Saccharomyces cerevisiae S288C: one gene and its partners. Changing the gene in region 3 together with the main gene of any one other region gives a genetic interaction. Each region holds a gene or a part of one and is shown on either strand. Other genes may lie near its edges. The genes, in order: NUP42, POM34, ARX1 and ECM1.

Region 1 (6,143 bases), 190 kb from region 3:
AGAAATTTTGGTAGGAATCAGAGAAACAACAACAGTAACAGGTATAGAAACTCCCGTTTCAATTCTCGCCCAAGGACAAGGTCTAGAGAAGACGATGATGAAGTGCACTTTGATAAGACCACTTTTTCCAAACTAATTCACGTCCCAAAAGAAGATAATAGTAAAGAAGTAACGCTGGACTCTTTACTGGAGGAAGGAGTCCTTGATAAAGAAATACATAAAGCCATTACCAGGATGGAATTTCCCGGTTTAACTCCTGTACAGCAAAAGACTATCAAACCAATATTATCCAGTGAAGACCATGATGTTATCGCAAGAGCTAAAACCGGTACAGGTAAGACATTTGCCTTCTTGATTCCAATTTTCCAGCATTTGATAAATACGAAGTTCGATTCTCAATATATGGTAAAAGCTGTTATTGTCGCACCAACAAGAGATTTGGCCTTGCAAATCGAAGCAGAGGTGAAAAAAATCCACGATATGAATTATGGCTTGAAAAAGTACGCTTGTGTCTCTTTAGTTGGTGGTACTGACTTCAGGGCAGCTATGAATAAAATGAATAAGTTGAGACCAAACATTGTAATTGCCACTCCAGGGAGATTGATTGATGTTTTGGAAAAATACTCCAACAAATTTTTTAGGTTCGTAGATTACAAAGTGCTAGATGAAGCTGACAGATTGCTAGAAATTGGATTCAGGGATGATTTAGAAACTATTTCTGGTATTTTAAATGAAAAGAACTCCAAATCAGCCGATAATATCAAGACTTTGTTGTTCTCTGCTACTCTGGACGACAAAGTACAAAAGTTGGCAAACAATATCATGAATAAAAAAGAATGTCTCTTTTTAGACACAGTAGATAAGAATGAACCTGAAGCACATGAAAGAATTGATCAGTCTGTCGTCATTTCAGAAAAGTTTGCCAATAGTATATTTGCTGCTGTGGAGCATATAAAGAAACAAATAAAGGAAAGAGATTCTAATTACAAAGCCATTATTTTTGCACCAACTGTTAAATTCACATCCTTTTTGTGCAGTATTTTAAAGAATGAATTTAAGAAAGATTTACCAATTTTGGAATTTCATGGTAAAATTACTCAAAATAAAAGAACAAGTTTAGTTAAAAGATTCAAAAAAGATGAATCCGGTATTTTGGTTTGTACGGATGTGGGAGCCCGTGGTATGGATTTCCCAAACGTCCACGAAGTTTTGCAAATTGGTGTTCCATCTGAGTTGGCTAATTATATTCATAGAATTGGTAGAACAGCCAGAAGTGGGAAAGAAGGATCTTCTGTGCTATTCATTTGTAAAGATGAATTGCCATTTGTTAGAGAGTTGGAAGATGCAAAAAATATAGTCATTGCCAAACAAGAAAAATATGAGCCCAGTGAAGAAATAAAATCTGAGGTCCTAGAGGCAGTGACCGAAGAACCGGAAGACATATCAGATATTGTAATAAGTTTAATCTCATCCTACAGATCCTGTATCAAGGAATACAGGTTTTCTGAAAGGCGCATACTTCCTGAAATTGCTTCCACTTATGGTGTACTGTTAAATGATCCTCAATTAAAGATTCCAGTATCCAGAAGGTTTTTAGATAAATTAGGTTTGAGCCGTAGTCCAATTGGTAAGGCAATGTTTGAAATTAGAGACTATAGTAGTAGAGATGGAAATAACAAGTCCTACGATTATGATGATGATTCAGAAATTTCTTTCAGAGGCAACAAAAACTATAATAATAGGAGCCAAAATAGAGATTACGATGACGAACCGTTTAGACGCAGCAACAACAATAGACGCTCATTCTCCCGTAGTAATGATAAAAATAATTACTCCAGTAGAAACAGCAACATATATTAGAAAAGATAAAAAAGGAGGACCAAGAGATGTGGGTTGTATTTTAAATAACAATTCCTCTATTAAGACGCCTGTATTTTAGACCCCATCTTGATTCAATACTTTCACGTGTAAATACCTAGTATATAAATATTAAACAAAAATTTTTTTTCTTCTCCTATTCTCTTAAAATGATAACTATACGAAGATCCTACTGGTATATTTATTCGTCAATGCTTATTTACGACCGGTACCTCCATTCTTACTTTCGCTCTTCCTCCTCTCAAAGGAAAAGTAATTCTAACATTGTAATTCTTATTTAAACGGATGGAAGAAAGCTTTTGAGAATTTACTTGAAAAGTCAGGGTGTCTTAGGCGATTGATCACGGACATAGCCATATTACGAAAACTTCATTCTGAATATTGCCAACGAGACAATCGTGGGCTTGGTAATCGTTGAAAAATTTTCACATATTTTATGAACAGCTGAGCCTATTAACAATGAAAATAGTCTATACGATAGTCCAGAACTGAATAACAGTGTCAATCACTTTTTTTTTTATGATTAAATCCTAGTTAAAGTGCCGCTCTGCGAAAGAAAAATCAATAAATACCATTTGTTAGTGATCTAGCAATAATATCAATGACATCTTGTCTTATCTTAAAAATAAACAAAAAATTCTTTACAGTGTACTGAGCATTAATCTGGCTACGGCCTGGAGGGAAATTATGTCTTATACGAATTTTGCTCCGGCAATTCTATTTACGCTGTTTAGCTTATCATGCGATTTCAACCTTCTTTATATAGTAAATTAGCTTCGAAATAAAAGTATTCGCGAGAGGACAAGACATGAAACCTAAACCACGACGCTGAAGGTAACGACATCATAATACGTTTCAAAGGGCTAACCTTAATATACTGACATCTAGAAATATATTAATTCTGCATATCAAGAAACACGCCGACTGAGGGTGCAAGGTATTTGAAAAAAAATAGTGAATCAATAGATGAGCGCACAATGTTTAAAGTACTATAACACTGAACTGTTGTACTTTAACGCAAAAGCTCATCAAGCTATCATTAAATTTCGACCCGAGCAACGACTCAACTGTAATGTCAGCTTTCGGTAACCCATTCACGTCGGGTGCTAAGCCTAATCTTTCTAATACAAGTGGTATCAACCCTTTCACAAATAATGCTGCTAGTACCAATAACATGGGAGGAAGTGCATTTGGAAGACCTAGTTTTGGAACAGCAAACACAATGACAGGAGGAACCACCACTTCAGCATTTGGAATGCCCCAGTTTGGTACCAATACAGGCAATACTGGCAATACGTCAATTAGCGCTTTTGGGAACACCAGTAATGCGGCTAAACCGTCAGCATTTGGAGCACCAGCATTTGGTTCTAGCGCCCCCATCAATGTTAATCCGCCTTCTACTACGTCAGCATTTGGAGCACCGTCATTTGGATCAACAGGTTTTGGTGCTATGGCGGCGACAAGTAATCCTTTTGGTAAAAGTCCTGGCTCAATGGGCTCTGCATTTGGTCAACCAGCTTTTGGAGCGAACAAAACTGCTATCCCTTCTAGTTCGGTTAGTAATAGTAATAACTCCGCATTTGGTGCTGCGTCAAACACGCCCTTGACCACAACTTCTCCTTTTGGTTCACTGCAACAAAACGCATCACAAAATGCATCATCTACATCGTCAGCGTTTGGCAAACCGACTTTCGGCGCAGCTACTAATACCCAGTCGCCATTTGGTACTATTCAAAATACAAGTACAAGCAGTGGGACAGGAGTATCCCCATTTGGCACATTTGGAACTAATAGTAATAACAAATCACCTTTTAGTAATCTACAGAGCGGAGCAGGCGCTGGTTCTTCGCCGTTTGGTACTACAACCTCCAAAGCTAACAACAACAATAACGTGGGCAGTAGCGCATTCGGAACGACGAATAATCAATCTCCTTTTAGCGGAGGTTCTGGGGGCACCTTTGGTTCTGCTTCTAACCTCAATAAAAATACCAATGGCAACTTTCAATCTTCTTTTGGTAATAAAGGGTTTTCATTCGGAATTACACCACAAAACGATGCCAACAAAGTCTCGCAATCGAACCCTTCATTTGGGCAAACAATGCCAAACACAGATCCGAACATAAGTTTGAAGAGCAATGGTAACGCAACCTCTTTTGGATTTGGACAACAACAGATGAATGCTACTAATGTCAACGCTAATACGGCCACCGGAAAAATTAGATTTGTTCAAGGGTTATCTTCTGAAAAGGACGGTATTCTAGAATTGGCCGATCTCGCAGAGGAAACACTGAAAATATTCAGAGCAAACAAGTTTGAACTAGGCCTTGTCCCTGATATACCTCCACCACCTGCATTGGTTGCATAGTAAGGTCAAAGAAAAACATACAAAATGGTAACTTAAACAATATATATGAATATATATATATATCTAATGAAAAATGCATTAATTTTATCTCCAACCTTTTTTGGTAGGACAAATACTTTCTATAATAATGAGGTAACATGCTGACAATCTCCCAGTACAACTAGGTCTACAAATTTCAAAGAGTCTAGCACATTCTTAGGCGGCATACTGGTGTTTAAATATAACACAATACCCCTGTTTGCATGGACTTTGGCCGCAAACTGCCTGCAAATATTTTTCACTCCGGGAATCTTCAAACTCGTTCCAACAATAATCAAACAATCAATTCTTTTCTTTAAGTCATTATTGGCAATTTCACCGATAAAATCACCTTCAGGGTGGACCTCATTGTATAAAATTACTCTTGGACGCAACTTGCCCACACCAGTAGATCTTAAGCCTGCCATTTTTCTAACTGTTTCATATTCTTCACATTGTGGACATGACGGTATGATTTCAGTCCGAGAATCAAATTTGTCGTCGCATTTGAACAGTTCAGGGTCAAAAGGTTTGATATTCAGACATTTATTGCATTCCATGTGTTTTATGCTTCCGTGTAATTGTACTGTACTGGGTATTGGCTTCGCCAGAGGCACATTAGTTGATAAATGAGGTAATTGTGTATCTAAACCGTCAATATTCTGCGTGTACAGTCTCAATAGCCTGCCATCCCTAGCAAACTCATTGAGCATTTCATGAAATTTTGTAGGTTGGCAATTCTTGGATAATCTGAACAATGACACCATTAACTGATTAAATTTCAAACTCATTGATTCGTCGCCATACACACGATTGTAGTCAAACAAATCTTTCCCAGAGCCGCCGTTCACAGTAGAGAAAATCCCTTCACTGGATCTAAAATCCGGTATACCAGCGGCAACAGATATACCTGCCCCGCTGACTACAACCATTCTTTTGCTATAATTCAGAGCATAGCTAATAAAACCGGCGTCGCGGTCCATATGATGGCGTTGGGATTTGGACAAGTGTGTCGAATCCACGTACGCATCCAGATCAAACACAGAGTTTAACTCAGGCCTATATGACAGTCTAGGTTTCCTGTTACGGACACTTTTTTTCAATTGCGGTAGCAATCTTCTAGGCTTCAAATTCTCATTGCAACGGTTTTCTGTTTGAGGCTTCTTTTCCGCCGTACTTGGTGGGGTGATCGGTAGTACAAATTTTTGCTTCATTTTGTGGTTCTGCTTAGTATTATTTACAGTTTTAAAATACAGTTGTTGCTCTAAAGTATGTAATTCCTAAGCTTTTCCACAACCTTGCTTGCTAAATATTCTAACATGTCACTAAAGTTGCTGTTTTCCCCTTTTAGGAAACGTAATTGATTTTTTGCTCACGTGCTCTGCGGGTAATGGAGAGGTTTTTTAAAATTTTTCAATTTTGTTCAAGGAAGAATATGGCAAAACAAAAGATACATCGTGGTGATGAAGAAGAGATGGATTCATTTAAGAGTACGTATTGAAGGCTGTTAAGTTCTGGGCCTGAATATTTTGAACGTTAAAATAATTGAGTAAATATGGTCGCTATCAGTGAAGTCAAAGAAAATCCTGGCGTAAACAGCAGTAATTCTGGTGCAGTTACGAGAACTGCGGCACATACACATATTAAAGGTTTAGGTCTGGATGAAAGTGGTGTGGCCAAGAGGGTTGAAGGAGGGTTTGTTGGACAAATAGAAGCTCGTGAAGCGTGCGGTGTAATTGTAGATTTAATCAAGGCTAAAAAAATGTCAGGTAGAGCTATCCTATTAGCTGGTGGTCCTTCTACAGGTAAGACAGCATTGGCTCTCGCCATTTCACAAGAGTTAGGCCCAAAAGTTCCATTCTGTCCTCTTGTTGGTAGCGAA
Region 2 (5,430 bases), on a different chromosome or scaffold from region 3:
TAACAAGCTTCTCTGAATAATCGATGATGGATGGTTCCATTAGGGTCCAACGTATCTAAAAGGGGGTTTGCATACCTCGAAACACTTGCCGTGAACACAACAACTTCGTATAGTTGACTCACCCTGTTCAAGAACTCATCGACGCCTGGCCTCTTAATAACATAGACATTGTGAACTTGATCATCGATTTCGACGGGCAAAACGAAATCAGCTGAATGCATATATTTAAAGGAAGAATGTACCAAAGTTTCGTCTAGATCCAATATCAGACATTTTTTCTGTTGAAATTCTTGCAACTTGGGTGGTAGCAGAGTGTCGTATCCGGGGGCATGGTACTGGTCTGGTTGCAAATGCGTCAGGTCAGAGAAGTCCTCCTCCGTTGTAGGTATCAAGTTTAAATCATTATCAGGACTGCTGGCGACATATTGTGGATTCATATCTTCTTGACCCACCTGATACAGACCCTGTTGTGGTGGCGCCTCGTCATTAATACTGGAATTTCTATCTGCGTCAACGTTATATTCATGAACGACATGGTCTTGCTTTTCTTTTGCTTCGTCATCTTCTTCTTCTTCTTCTCCGGCATTGTTAACCTCCGTCATTTCTACGTCTCCTTCATTATAATCTTCATATTCTTTCTCCTCATCGTACGAGTTGTTGGAGTGATCTCTTGATAAAGGTGCTAGTTTTCCATTGCCGCTATTCCCATTCTCCTGCATTGTCTTGGAACCCGCATTGCTGCCTGAATCGGAACTAGACAAAAGGATCTCCGGTGTGGAATATTGCATCTTGTCGCCGTTTGGAGTAGCCTTCTGCTTACGACCCTGAGTTTGAGCTTTGTTTGAACTGTGCTTACGGTTGCGGTTGCGGTTGTGATTAGTTTCTGGTGGTTGGCGTTGACGATGTGTTTTGGAAGTATCTGAAGAACAGCACAGTATATTTGCTATAAATCCCATCTGATGATGATCTGAAAAAGCTCCCTAAAACAGACAGAGAAGCACTCTTCACTCAGTTTTTATTGCCAAATAAGTGGAAAATTAAAACGAAAGAACTCAAAAGCAGCACTGCGCTCGAAGAAAGATATATCTTAGCTTAAATCCTCTCCAAAAGGGGAGAACGAAGAATATGTGTAAATTAAGCGATGCTTCGTGGGTTTCTTTTACGCGCTGCGAAAAAGATAATCAAATCTCTAAATTTTAGAAATATAAGCCAGTCGGTAGCCCCCACAAGTCAATTATATATGTCAAAGTTCGTGGCACTGTGGACTGCTTTCATAAAGCTTCTCTTTATCTGTTCCTTAGACTGTGAATACTGAGGTTTTCTAAAAAAAAGCAAAAAAAAAAAAAGAGGGTCCAAACCTATTAACTTCAGGGTTTAAGTATCTTTTTTGTAGGTTATAATGTTCTTTTTATAAACCTTTCTCAGGTTATAATAATATTTCTCAGGTCTAATTAGGGCTAAAGTCTAAAGAAAAATGAAAAAAAAAAAAAATGAAATTTGTGCTAATAGTAATAATGATAGAAATAATAACAATTAATAAGATGGTTATGATGAACAAAAAGATTTATATTATAAGAACTTGACAATATACAGACTTTTAATATATCCGCAGAGGCAAAAAAATAATAGAGGGAACTATGAAGATTCAGGCGGGCCAATTGGGCCTGGACGATAATGACGTGCCGGGACCATTGCCGGACACAGACAGCAAACCCTCATCACAATCACAAAATGACACACCAATGTTTAAATTGGGCAACTTTGAAAGTCCTGTGCTCAAGGAGCTATCACGGCGAACGGTAAACAAGGAAATGGAGACGCAGAGAATTATGACAAACGTAATTGCGTTTGCGTTCTGGAACCTGCTGGTGAAGTTCATCAAGTTCTTTTGGAACAACACTCATGTTGGGAGACAGTTTTGCAACCGGCTATCCAGAATCCATCTGTACATGTTGACATTTCACACGTTAAAGAAGGCTAACATCATATATCACACCACGTTCAGTTGGTTGAATGCAGAACTTCTTGACTACTTGTTCCACCTATTAATCTCGCTCAATATACTGTTTTCTCTTTGGAAGCTCTTATCCACCGTCAAAGTAAGTGATTTGAATCTCACTGACAGGCAAAAGAAGCTCCTGGGGGTAGACATGCAATCATCTGTCGATACTGGGTTGCAGCCACAACACCCCCACTACGTATCCACTTCTAAGATCAGCCAAATGGCACAGAACAAAACACATATTCCTCAAACAAATCTCAAAAATCATCCAGCATATCTCTTCAAAGGCTTAGAGACGCCTTTGAAAGCAAGACAAAGGGAAATGGCGGAGGAACAGACGAAACTACAATCTCAATCCTTACACACAAAGAATGTATTTGGCACACTGCAGAGGCATAGCGGTATCAGTAGCACATTAGTGAGCGCTAACAATGACAATAACTCGCCGCATACCCCTGTAACTAGGAAGGGCTACATTCCAAGTAGCAAATATGCATATATGATGAACTCACAGTCCCCAAGGGGGAAAATATAAAAACAGCAAAAAAACATTTAATACTTTCCATAGCTATATATGTTTTCTCTCCTATTTATATTTTACATATGATTAGCGGCAACCATTACCAATAGTTTGGAAATAAGTATCTTAGTCTTTCTAAGGTTTCCTTGGACATAGCCTCTGGTTTGGTAGAGATAGATTTCTTGATGGAACCGCGCAGCCCATCGCCAGTATGCATGAACTCTGGGATTTCCTTGGCCATTGAGACGATGATCTTAGAAGCTAAAATATTTGCATTGCGCCCATTATTCGTCAAATTACCAATAACGGTTTCTACGGTAACAGGTTCTGCCTCATCTCTCCATGCGTCGTAATCGGTAGACATACAAATCATCTGGTAAGGCAGCTCACACTCACGCGCCAATTTGGCTTCTGGAATAACACTCATGTTAATAACATGGCCACCAAACATTCTGTACATCTTGGATTCAGCGCGCGTGGAGAATTGTGGGCCTTCCATACACACAACGGTCATATCCTTGTCGTAATGCAAATGGCACGGTTCTTCGGATTCAGGATTTGTTATCTCGTTCTTGAATTGATAGATATACTCTGCGAATTTTTGAGAGAACGGCTGTCCGAAACCAACGTGACCTACCAAGCCTTCATCGTTGAAATATGAAGAATGTCTTATGCCTTTAGTTCTGTCGATTATTTGCTGTGGTAACACAAAATCTCTAGGCTTTATATGGGGTTGTAAAGACCCCACGGCACTAAAAGAAAGAACGGCTTTACAATTTAAGTTCTTTAAGGCCGCCATGTTTGCTCTAAATGGGACTTTAGTGGGTGGGTATTCGTGGTTAATACCGTGTCTGGCTATGAACGCAACGTGAAAGTGGCTGTTAGTTCCTACGAACTGAGAGATTGTGACAGGAGACGATGTGGTACCCCATGGTGTTACCATGGGTGGAAGCAAAGCGATGGGCTCCAGACAGTCAAGGTTATATAAACCTGTACCACCAATAATCCCTAAATCAACAGTTCCTTCGAATATGCTCGGTAATTCTGAGTTCGTCATAACTTTGCTTAGTTTTAATCTCTTAGCAACAGAAAATGTATTCTTAATCCTGTTCATTTAATCTCATCTCATCTCGAAATAGTTTTTTTTCATTCACACGTTCATCTTTTTTCATTTTTCTTTTTCTTTTTTTTGCTTTCTTTTCACATAATTGACAATAAAGGCGTCCTACAATAGAAGCCTTGGTATAACGTAAAAGCCACAGCAAGCATGGTGTACTTCATTTCCGACTCCATTTGCGTATAGACATGTTTCACAGACGCAAAAGACCTTATAACACCAGAAATTATGGCCATGATGACAAGAAATTCAAATCGCAGTACATCGATATTATGCCAGACTTCAGCCCTTCCGGTCTGTTAGAGCTGGAGTCGAATAACAAAGAAGGTATAGCTTTAAAACATGTGGAGCCGCAGGACGCTATTTCTCCAGATAACTACATGGATATGCTAGGACTGGAGGCGCGAGATAGGACTATGTATGAACTAGTGATATACAGAAAGAATGACAAGGATAAAGGACCGTGGAAAAGATACGATTTGAACGGCAGGAGCTGTTATTTAGTCGGTCGTGAACTGGGCCACAGTCTGGATACAGATCTCGACGATAGAACGGAGATCGTTGTCGCAGACATTGGTATACCCGAAGAAACATCCTCAAAGCAGCACTGCGTCATCCAGTTCAGGAACGTTCGTGGCATTTTGAAATGTTATGTAATGGATTTGGATTCGTCCAATGGGACATGTTTGAACAACGTTGTAATTCCTGGAGCGAGATATATAGAGCTACGAAGTGGTGACGTCCTTACACTTTCAGAATTTGAAGAAGATAACGATTACGAACTCATCTTCATGAATGTATAACCATATATAAGAAACACACTTTCAGTGTGTTTTAATTATTCTTCTTTGAATGCTGCTTTATTGCTGTAGGGCAATTTGCTCCAACTCATCGATTATATCCCATACTATGTCTTCAGCTATCTGTTCTTTGTACAATGTATCCAGTGTGTTAACTTTTGAATTCCCGTCAACACAGTAAGCTGATCGGATTTGATCGAGGTACTCCAATTTATCTTCTTCACTAATTATCCTCGCTGTTCCACCGTTAAAACAGCTGATTGTTGGATAGTAACCCAGTTTGTTATTATTTACGTATTTGTTTCTGAGTATCAATCCCTTCTTTTTCTTTTGTTGCTGCTTTTTCTTTTTGGCACTGGTTGTGTTTTTATCATTGGACTCATCACGAGCTTCACCATGTTGCCAATATCCAAGATAGAACTTTTCATTGTATTGTAACTCACTGAACGGTGGTAACAACGGCTTTAAATTTTCAAATGCTTTGCCTAGGTACTTACCATTTTGAAAGATAGCAAGATATGAATCCTCTAACTGGTAATAGTCTTGCCTTTCCCTCTTATCAGAAGAATAATATTCCGGTTTCGTTGTCTTTACATAGTCCGTTGCCTCAAAGAACAACTGGTTCTTATACCTGATGGCGATTTGATCGCGGACGACGTCGTTATATTCAATATCTTCTAATAGCGCCCTTTGAAATTCTTTGTTCGTTGTCTCTTGTTTTAATTTTTTCCTTGAAGGCCCATTCTCAGCATCTTCTCTCCATGGTTCATTCATCGTATCCATATGGGAGTTCAGTGCAAAAATTCTTCTTTTGGTAAACTCCTTAGCTTGTTTGATTTGTGTATGAATGCTAGGAAGACTCAGTAGAAATCCGATTTTATCACCCTCTTTCAATGGCGAACCATTTTCTAGGACGCAATTCAATTTTCCTTCGTGGATAGATTCTAACGAAATGTCTCTAATACCATACCCGTACACATCAAACCCTACG
Region 3 (6,372 bases):
ACAATTGACGTATATTTTCACCAATTTAAACGTCTTCCTCTTGGCAGTTTACGGACTGGCACTCTCCGTACCTATCGTCTATCTGGAGTTCAAGGTTCCGTCAAATCTTTACAGGTATGCTTCCTTTTACTTTAGTTTTCTTGGAAGGGGTTTATCTTATATTTTACTAAGTCTGATAATCAGCTTCGGCGGTATCTACAACATATTGGCGGGAATGTTTACTTTTATTTTAGGGGTTGCCTTTATTGTTTTTCATTTTTCCCAGTTTGTGGAAGAACCTGCTAACTTCAGAGCACCCGGCTCATCTTTGTCAATTGGTGATGATGACATCGACGATGACGATGACATGATTTAATATTAGAAGCCCATGTCTCTCAATCCGCCGGTGTTACAAAAGCATGGCGAAACAGGCGTGAGATATTTAATCTTCCATCTCATCTGTATAGCAAATAAAATGTAATTATAATGCAAGATTCTGAGCAAATGAACCAAGCGGTTTTAGTACAGCTAGGTTGACTTTTTTTATAATATTCTATTTTACATTTTATGATATACTTATATTATTTATATACTAGCTTTAGAAATGATGAAGTTTCCTACATTTTCATGGTTTCTTCAACTCCGCCATTTGATGTCTCAACACTCTTCTGCTTCATTGGCTGCGTTTCCTTTAATAATAGACCGAACCTCTTATCCTTGGCCAAAGTAGCTAATTGAAAGATCCCTTGAACAATTGAATCTTGTGGATTTAATTCGTGCTGAGAGTGAATCCAGCTCGGTTGACAGGTCTTAGAACCACCAGTTAATCTCAATAATTCGGGTCTGTCCGTTGTACTTACACTAGAGTCACATAATACGATGGTATTACATTCACGAGCAACTGGTAAAGAAATCGATTCCTTGGTTGAATTCATTAAGGATTTAAGCTTGATGGCTGAAACACCCAATTTTGGTAAAGGTAACTCATGCCCAGGTAATGTTAATGTAGAGGTTGCATCATAACTTAAATTACCGTTTGGATTGGTAGCCTTTAAAATATGGTCCCATGGAACCCATCTAGCAATTTGTATTGGACTTTCCACACATAAGTAGTTGTTGGAAATCTCACTCATCCCAAGTCTAAATGATTTCAAATCTTTCTTTAAGCTTTGGAGTTCTTCTTCATTTTCGTGAACGAAAGGAAAGTTAGAAGATAAATGAGATAACTTGAATGGATAAACGCCTTGTTTATCGATTTTAGTTAATAATTGTCTAGAAGTTTTTAATTTAAGAATATGGGTTTGAGCAAAATCTCTAACATATGCACCGGGTCTTGCAATCAATTCTCCAGCCTTATGAGATTTACCTGTGTAAGAGTCAACGGTTTCTAAAGTTACTAAACCCTTTTTGGTACAATGCTCCAAAGATGCCATTTTCAAATCAATTAAATACACTTCACCTGATTGAACAACGAAATCATCACTTGGAATAGCAGAAACATTAGTGAATGGAGTCGATTGTCCACGATCTACCACTGTTAAATCCTTGGCATCAGTATTAGATAGCAAATCTGCTTCTTGATGGGACTCTGTCCAAACAACACCCTTATATTCCCTTTCGGCAACAATACCTTCGTTTTGGCCTGCCAGGAATCTTCTAATCCTTCTTACACGAGAACCAGGAACAACGCCACAGTTATAAGATCTGGCAATAGTATCCACTATAGTTCTAATCAATTGGCCTGTGATACCACTTGAAGTTCCTCCCAGTGAGGCAGGAAGCTTTTCTGGAGTCAGAGCACAGGCTAATAAAGCAACAACTGTTTCCATAGCAATGTGAGCAGCAGCTACAGCATCCGCTTTACCACCTAGTAGTGGCCCAGTGGGTTGAAGAATAGGTTTGGTTTCATCAACGGGGTAAATAACCATAGTATGAGAAACTTCAGAGGTGTAACCATCAATATGAACACCTAGTGTAATCTTGACTAAATCCCCCGGTCTCAAAGTCCCAGTGACAGATGATGCAAAAGTGGAGTCTTTCCCCTTATTCCAGTTTAACAAATTTTGAGTATCATCTATTTCGGGGCACCATCCACCAGAAATTTGGTCGATATCAATAGTGGTTGGAATGGCAATACCTCTTTCATTAACTTTGTTTTTATAATATTGTTCCAACCGGGTCAAAATAAAAGAATCGGTAAGCAAACATAGCTCTGGCACGGTTAATTGGCGCTGTGTGGTCTTAGAGTGATATGAATCATTGATCAAAGAAGTAACATATTTCAAAGCAGTTTGTGCGATTTGTCCAGCAGTTCTGTATTTGTTCAAGACCGATTCCTGTAGAATATTTTTGTCCTTTAGCAAAATCTGAGTATCCTCGTGGGAGATAGCTAGAGCCATGATAGTTTTAGCAATATTAGTCGGGTCGGGTTTTTTCTTAAAAGTATTTTGAATAACACGATGCTTTAGCTCATCTCATCTCTTCTGCTGAAATTTTTCTTTACTTCGGTAAAATTTTTTCAGAAAGCAAAAAAAGCTTCACAGAGGCATGACCCTCTCCGGGTAAAAAAAAGCTTAGGGTTACCGGCCTGTCATTTTTAGGGCATTATCAATTTTTTGCCATCTAGTTGCAACTATAATAATACAGTATGAATTGCACGAAAGAGCAGTCAATGTAAATTCACGAAGTGACTGACAGAATACTGACATCAGCTGATTTCTCATAGAGCTGTTTCTCTGATAACACGTTGTTTGAACATCGACAAGATGAAAATCTAGAAGTATCAAGTTTCCTTTAAAGGGATATATAACAGATTCTAAAACTGACAGAAATATTTCGAGTGAAGAAGAAGCGTTAAATATTGGATCTTTCCGCAGTTCTACTCTGATACATTTTTGAAGTAGGAGAGTCATTTAGAAGGCGTATTGCTCAATAGTAGAAAGCAGGCCTGTGCACATGAATTAATTAAAAAATATAAAGGTAGTGATTAGACGACACATGTCCATAGGTAACCTGTCATAATTTTGAACAATTTCCCTTCTTTTCTTTTTTTTTTTTGGGTGCGGCGATATGTAGCTTGTTAATTTACACATCATGTACTTTTCTGCATCAAAATATGAAAGGCGATAGTAGCTAAAGAAAATACCGAGAATTTCCTCGAAAAGTTGACGACAAAAGAAAGGCATAAAAAAGTAATTTGAAAATATTTTAAAACTGTTTTAACCCATCTAGCATCCGCGCTAAAAAAGGAAGATACAGGATACAGCGGAAACAACTTTTAAATGATGGAAACTCCTACAGACAATATAGTTTCCCCTTTTCACAATTTTGGTAGCTCGACACAATATAGTGGTACCTTGTCGAGAACTCCCAACCAAATAATAGAGCTAGAGAAGCCCAGTACTCTATCCCCATTGTCAAGAGGAAAAAAATGGACGGAAAAGTTAGCCAGGTTCCAAAGAAGTAGTGCTAAAAAGAAAAGATTCTCACCTTCTCCTATTTCCTCCTCTACATTTTCGTTCTCACCCAAATCTAGGGTCACTTCTTCAAACTCTTCTGGCAATGAAGACGGTAACCTAATGAATACACCTTCTACGGTTTCCACTGATTATTTGCCACAACACCCTCACAGAACATCGTCTTTGCCAAGACCTAATTCCAATCTCTTTCACGCAAGTAATAGTAACCTATCCCGAGCAAATGAGCCCCCAAGGGCCGAAAATTTATCAGATAATATACCACCCAAGGTCGCTCCATTTGGCTATCCAATACAAAGAACCTCTATTAAAAAATCCTTTTTGAATGCTTCTTGTACGTTATGTGACGAGCCTATTTCTAACAGAAGAAAGGGAGAGAAAATTATAGAGCTTGCATGTGGCCACTTAAGTCACCAAGAATGTCTTATTATCTCTTTTGGCACCACTTCAAAGGCAGACGTTCGTGCGCTATTTCCTTTTTGTACCAAATGTAAAAAAGATACTAACAAAGCCGTTCAATGCATTCCAGAAAATGATGAACTAAAGGATATTCTAATTTCTGATTTTTTGATTCATAAGATTCCTGATTCTGAGTTATCAATCACACCTCAGTCCCGCTTTCCTCCTTATTCACCACTCTTGCCTCCTTTTGGGTTATCCTATACACCTGTTGAAAGACAAACGATATATTCTCAAGCTCCAAGTCTAAACCCAAATCTCATATTGGCTGCACCCCCCAAGGAAAGAAACCAAATTCCACAAAAAAAATCAAACTATACATTTTTACATTCACCCCTGGGGCACAGAAGAATTCCGTCCGGAGCAAACTCTATCTTAGCAGACACCTCTGTAGCGTTGTCAGCTAATGATTCTATTTCTGCTGTTTCCAATTCGGTAAGAGCAAAGGATGACGAAACCAAAACAACGTTGCCGCTGTTAAGGTCATATTTTATTCAAATTCTTTTGAACAATTTCCAGGAAGAATTGCAGGATTGGAGAATAGACGGGGACTATGGATTACTAAGGTTGGTAGACAAATTGATGATTTCCAAAGATGGTCAGAGATATATACAATGCTGGTGTTTCTTATTTGAAGACGCATTTGTAATAGCAGAAGTGGATAACGATGTTGATGTTTTGGAAATTAGACTAAAGAATTTAGAAGTATTTACACCTATTGCCAACTTGAGAATGACTACACTCGAAGCTTCAGTACTCAAATGCACCTTAAATAAACAACATTGCGCCGATTTATCAGATCTTTACATTGTTCAGAATATAAATTCTGACGAAAGCACAACTGTACAGAAATGGATATCAGGTATATTGAATCAGGATTTTGTATTCAATGAGGACAATATCACTTCGACCCTGCCTATTCTTCCCATTATAAAGAACTTTTCAAAAGATGTTGGTAATGGTAGGCACGAGACGAGTACCTTTCTAGGTTTAATCAATCCTAACAAAGTTGTTGAAGTTGGAAATGTGCACGATAATGATACTGTAATCATAAGGAGGGGATTCACCTTAAATTCAGGAGAATGTTCTAGGCAGAGTACTGTCGACAGTATACAATCTGTTCTAACCACGATAAGCTCAATTCTTTCCCTTAAACGAGAAAAACCTGATAATTTGGCAATAATCTTACAGATCGATTTTACGAAATTGAAGGAAGAAGACAGTTTAATTGTTGTTTATAACAGTCTAAAAGCTTTAACCATTAAATTTGCGCGTTTGCAGTTTTGTTTCGTTGATCGAAATAATTATGTTCTGGACTATGGATCGGTATTACACAAGATAGATTCACTAGATTCCATCTCAAATCTCAAATCAAAGAGTTCCTCGACACAATTTTCACCTATTTGGTTGAAAAATACTCTATATCCCGAAAATATTCATGAACATTTGGGTATTGTTGCTGTATCAAATAGTAATATGGAAGCAAAAAAATCCATACTATTTCAAGATTACAGATGCTTTACAAGTTTTGGAAGAAGAAGGCCCAATGAATTGAAGATTAAGGTGGGCTATTTGAACGTTGACTACAGTGATAAAATTGATGAACTAGTCGAGGCCAGCTCCTGGACTTTTGTTTTAGAAACTCTTTGCTACAGTTTCGGTCTAAGTTTTGATGAACATGATGACGATGACGAAGAGGATAATGATGATTCGACCGATAATGAACTTGATAATAGTTCAGGATCACTGTCGGATGCTGAATCTACAACTACTATTCATATTGATTCTCCATTTGATAATGAAAATGCTACCGCAAATATGGTGAATGACAGAAACCTTCTCACTGAGGGTGAACATAGCAATATAGAAAACTTAGAAACTGTCGCTTCTTCAGTACAGCCAGCTCTGATTCCTAATATTAGATTTTCACTTCATTCTGAGGAGGAAGGTACTAATGAAAATGAAAATGAAAATGATATGCCAGTATTATTACTTAGTGATATGGATAAAGGAATCGATGGCATAACCAGACGCAGTTCATTCTCGAGTCTTATAGAGAGCGGTAATAACAACTGTCCCCTCCATATGGATTATATATAGAGTATACACTAAATTTTATGCAATAATAAAAAGAAAGCATCCCGCCAAACGTTTCGTAACTACATATTGTTACATAGTTTGATTCCGTGAATTTGAAGTGGACGCAGTTCTTCTTAGTCTTTCAAGTTCATAGTAAATAGACATTACCCAAAGATCTCTTTCCTGTCTTGATCTTGCCATGAAAACCATTGACTTGCCGCTCACACCTAACTTTTTAGTGAAATGGATCTTATCTGTGTTACTTGGAACATTAGAGTTATTCAAGTCAGCTTCCGGAGCAGAAGGTGGGTCAATATTATTATCTTGTCTACCATAATCTTGCGTATATTGCTTTTCATTCCCTTTCTTCTGTAAGCGA
Region 4 (2,931 bases), on a different chromosome or scaffold from region 3:
TAGAGCCTTCATTGTTGACGGCTTCACTTGTGATCCACTCTTGGTTTAAATGCTTTGTATTAGTGTAAGCCTGAAAATGCTCCCAGAAAGAATCTTCCGCTAATGTAACGTTGGATAGCAATGAAGTGCCTTTCACCAACGCTAGATTCAAAAACAGCCACCATAAATACGCAGAAAATTTCATAGTACTACTTTGTGTGGCCGTTATCTATATTAGAAATGCGTTGCCGTTCACTTTTTTACACAATCCTTAAACGACATGCATCACACGGTTTTCAGCTAACCCATAATAATTTTCTTTTTCTTAATCAACTTGATATTGAAAAAGTTGTAACTATTAATGAAGTTTTTCAATAATAGTATACATCCAGATATATAAAAAATAAAATAAAACTAAGCTAAAACCATGTTATCTAATGTACAAAGAATGAAAGAAGATAGAAAAAAGAAGAATGCGTACAAGAATCGTGTATTCCTAGGACCTTTCATATGAAAATTTTCTATTCTTCAACATCGTCTGGCAGGACACCGAATCTATTTGTAGGAGTCTTCTGCACTGTGTTATCCTCTGCTAAAGAGTCAAAAACTTCTGGGATCTCCTCATCTTCCTTTTCAGCATTACCTTCACTAGCACTTTTTGCCTGCACAGACAACCCTCCGTTCAAAAAAGCCAGCTCTTTTTTTATAGTCTCATTGGTGCTATCCCAGCCAGCCTTTCTTGTATTTTGAATGTACTTGGCACGAGAAATGGACTTGGCAATTTTACCGTCCAGACGATTGGTAAAATTCAAGGCCTTCACTAAACGATCCCTGTCCATGGATGAAATAGAGTTGGCCAGTTTGTCTTCCAGAGCCTTTTTATTTAACTTCTTGCCCCTCTTACTTTTATTGGCTTTCTTAGATATCTTTGCTTCCAGCAATGCCTCATTCTTGGCTGCTGTTCTAATCAAAATATTAGTCAAATCGGTTTTTTCAGCTCTAGGTAGTTCACTTAAATCCTTTACCTCTGGTTCAAGAGCATCCGATTGTCTAGCAGCTCTTGAATTCTTTGATATTTTCTTGGCCATGCTTTGTTTTAGACGATATCTTACCAGTATAGTCAAGGAAAAAACTACCTTTTGTCGTCTTTGTTCCCACATTCAATACTTCTAAAGGGTCCTTAACCAAAAAAATTTTCAGCTCATCGCCAAGTTGAATAAAGGAAAAAAAAAGAAGAAAAAAAAAAATAATATAGTCGCAGAAACTTACTTCTGTCTGTTTCATAACAACAAATATTATAAAAGAAAATACATAATCTTAGATACTACAAATGAGCCGCGAGGGGCCCCAAATATTATTTTGTCATTACTTCATTTCACCGTGATTGTTAGGCGTCAATAGAATCTTAACGTTGGATTCCTTGTGATCCATCAACTCTTGGAATCCCTTTTCCCAACCGTCCTCAATCCTTTGCTTACCAGTGATTAGTTGCTTACAATCTTCCATGGCGATGTCTCCGTTGTGGATGGCACGAACAACTTCTTCGAAGTCTTCGACAACATAGCCGATCGAACCAGTCATAACTTTCTCTTGGAGAGTCACATCCATTGGTTGGAATGGGACAGGTTTTGGACCCCAAACTGCAATGTTGGTGGCTGTCCCCTTGAATGTTAATGCCTTCAAAGAGGTTTCGAAAGTAACTTGAATACCAGAACAATCATAACTGTAATCAAACCCATCATGGCTCTTGGTCAAACCACGTAGTATCTCTATAGATTTATGACCGTGCTTGGAGGGATTGAACACCTCAACGCCCAGTTTCTTGGCCATTTCTATTCTTCTCTCTGCAATTTCAGACACTACAATTTTACTAGCCCCCATTCCCTTAAGTACCAAAATGGTACACAACCCAATGGGACCTGCACCAAGAACCAAGGCTGAACTGCCTTTTTTGAAACCAGAAATCTTAACAGCATGCCAGGTGACAGAAAGAGGCTCAACTAAAGCAGCCACATCTAGAGGAATTTCCTTTGGAACCGGGATAATGTGATGTTGAGAGACTACGACTTGTTCAGCAAAGCCACCACTGATCACACCTAGTCCTACAAAACCGGCGTGGGTACATAGATTTTCACTGCCCCTCTGACAAGCATCACATGGTTTGGAATTGTAAAATTTGGAGTGTGGCCAGCAATGCAGGTCCGCACAACTGCTGGCAGCATCAACGACCACGTGGTCGCCAACCTTCACCTTTGTCACTTTAGGACCAACCTTGGAAACAATTCCTGACATCTCATGGCCCATTGCCAGAGGTAAAGCAGCGTTGGATAATTTATGGCACTCTCCATCTTTAGGCATGAAGATTGGACCATCCAAGTACTCGTGAAGATCCGAGCCACAAATCCCACACCAAGAGACGTCGATAATAACCTCATCGTCGGTTTGGATTTCTGGCCTAGGGATATCATTAGTGAAGTGAATATCACCCTTCTTGAAATATGCCAAAGCTCTCATAATTAATTAAAACTTTTTTTAGTTCCTTTTTTTTTTTTTTTCTGACTTGGTCAATCGTACTAAGACTTTTTAAGAAAGAAGAAGGGCAACATCTGCCCAAAGGGCTTGAATTGGCCATTGTCACACGAAGTATCTGCCCCACTTTTATATGTCGATTTTTTTTTCTACGTTTCCACCTATTATCATATCAAGAGAAACAGGCTAGGACCCCGTAAGGAGGAAAGAATAGGCAAGGATAGGAAAACACCGGTTTCTTCTCTCCGTCGAAACGAAAAGGGGTCAAAGTAGCGTGAGCAAATCCGGCTTGATGTTAAACTGCTGCCCTCGATTGGCTCGATAAATGTACATATGATGTATATAAAACACTGTCAAGAGAATGCTATGAGAGAAAGAAAAGTTAGTAAAACAAGAAGACCGCGGGATTAACACGAGAACGTG

Evidence for each region.
Region 1: mutations in ARX1 (region 3) and NUP42 impair growth when combined (synthetic growth defect), as found in Saccharomyces cerevisiae (5 studies listed by BioGRID, with this or other methods).
Region 2: mutations in ARX1 (region 3) and POM34 together harm fitness more than expected from each alone (negative genetic interaction), as found in Saccharomyces cerevisiae (6 studies listed by BioGRID, with this or other methods).
Region 4: mutations in ARX1 (region 3) and ECM1 together harm fitness more than expected from each alone (negative genetic interaction), as found in Saccharomyces cerevisiae (5 studies listed by BioGRID, with this or other methods).

Annotation. Positions count from the first base shown.
Region 1 is NC_001136.10:841,669-847,811, reverse strand, and holds NUP42 (FG-nucleoporin NUP42), read left to right. Parts: upstream 1-2,950; coding exon 2,951-4,243; downstream 4,244-6,143. Other genes in the region: MSS116 (ATP-dependent RNA helicase), read left to right, coding at 1-1,860; NAD-dependent histone deacetylase HST4, read right to left, coding at 4,363-5,475; RVB1 (RuvB family ATP-dependent DNA helicase pontin), read left to right, coding at 5,817-6,143. UniProt on the Saccharomyces cerevisiae protein: Functions as a component of the nuclear pore complex (NPC).
Region 2 is NC_001144.5:175,814-181,243, reverse strand, and holds POM34 (Pom34p), read left to right. Parts: upstream 1-1,637; coding exon 1,638-2,537; downstream 2,538-5,430. Other genes in the region: PSR2 (putative phosphatase), read right to left, coding at 1-956; MEU1 (S-methyl-5-thioadenosine phosphorylase), read right to left, coding at 2,623-3,636; PML1 (Pml1p), read left to right, coding at 3,828-4,442; BRE2 (Bre2p), read right to left, coding at 4,500-5,430. UniProt on the Saccharomyces cerevisiae protein: Functions as a component of the nuclear pore complex (NPC).
Region 3 is NC_001136.10:655,090-661,461, forward strand, and holds ARX1 (putative hydrolase), read right to left. Parts: upstream 2,379-6,372; coding exon 597-2,378; downstream 1-596. Other genes in the region: TVP15 (Tvp15p), read left to right, coding at 1-355; YDR102C (uncharacterized protein), read right to left, coding at 2,559-2,891; STE5 (Ste5p), read left to right, coding at 3,261-6,014; SPO71 (Spo71p), read right to left, coding at 6,084-6,372. UniProt on the Saccharomyces cerevisiae protein: Probable metalloprotease involved in proper assembly of pre-ribosomal particles during the biogenesis of the 60S ribosomal subunit. Accompanies the pre-60S particles to the cytoplasm.
Region 4 is NC_001133.9:34,717-37,647, reverse strand, and holds ECM1 (Ecm1p), read right to left. Parts: upstream 1,140-2,931; coding exon 501-1,139; downstream 1-500. Other genes in the region: CNE1 (calnexin), read right to left, coding at 1-184; BDH1 ((R,R)-butanediol dehydrogenase), read right to left, coding at 1,345-2,493. UniProt on the Saccharomyces cerevisiae protein: Pre-ribosomal factor involved in 60S ribosomal protein subunit export from the nucleus.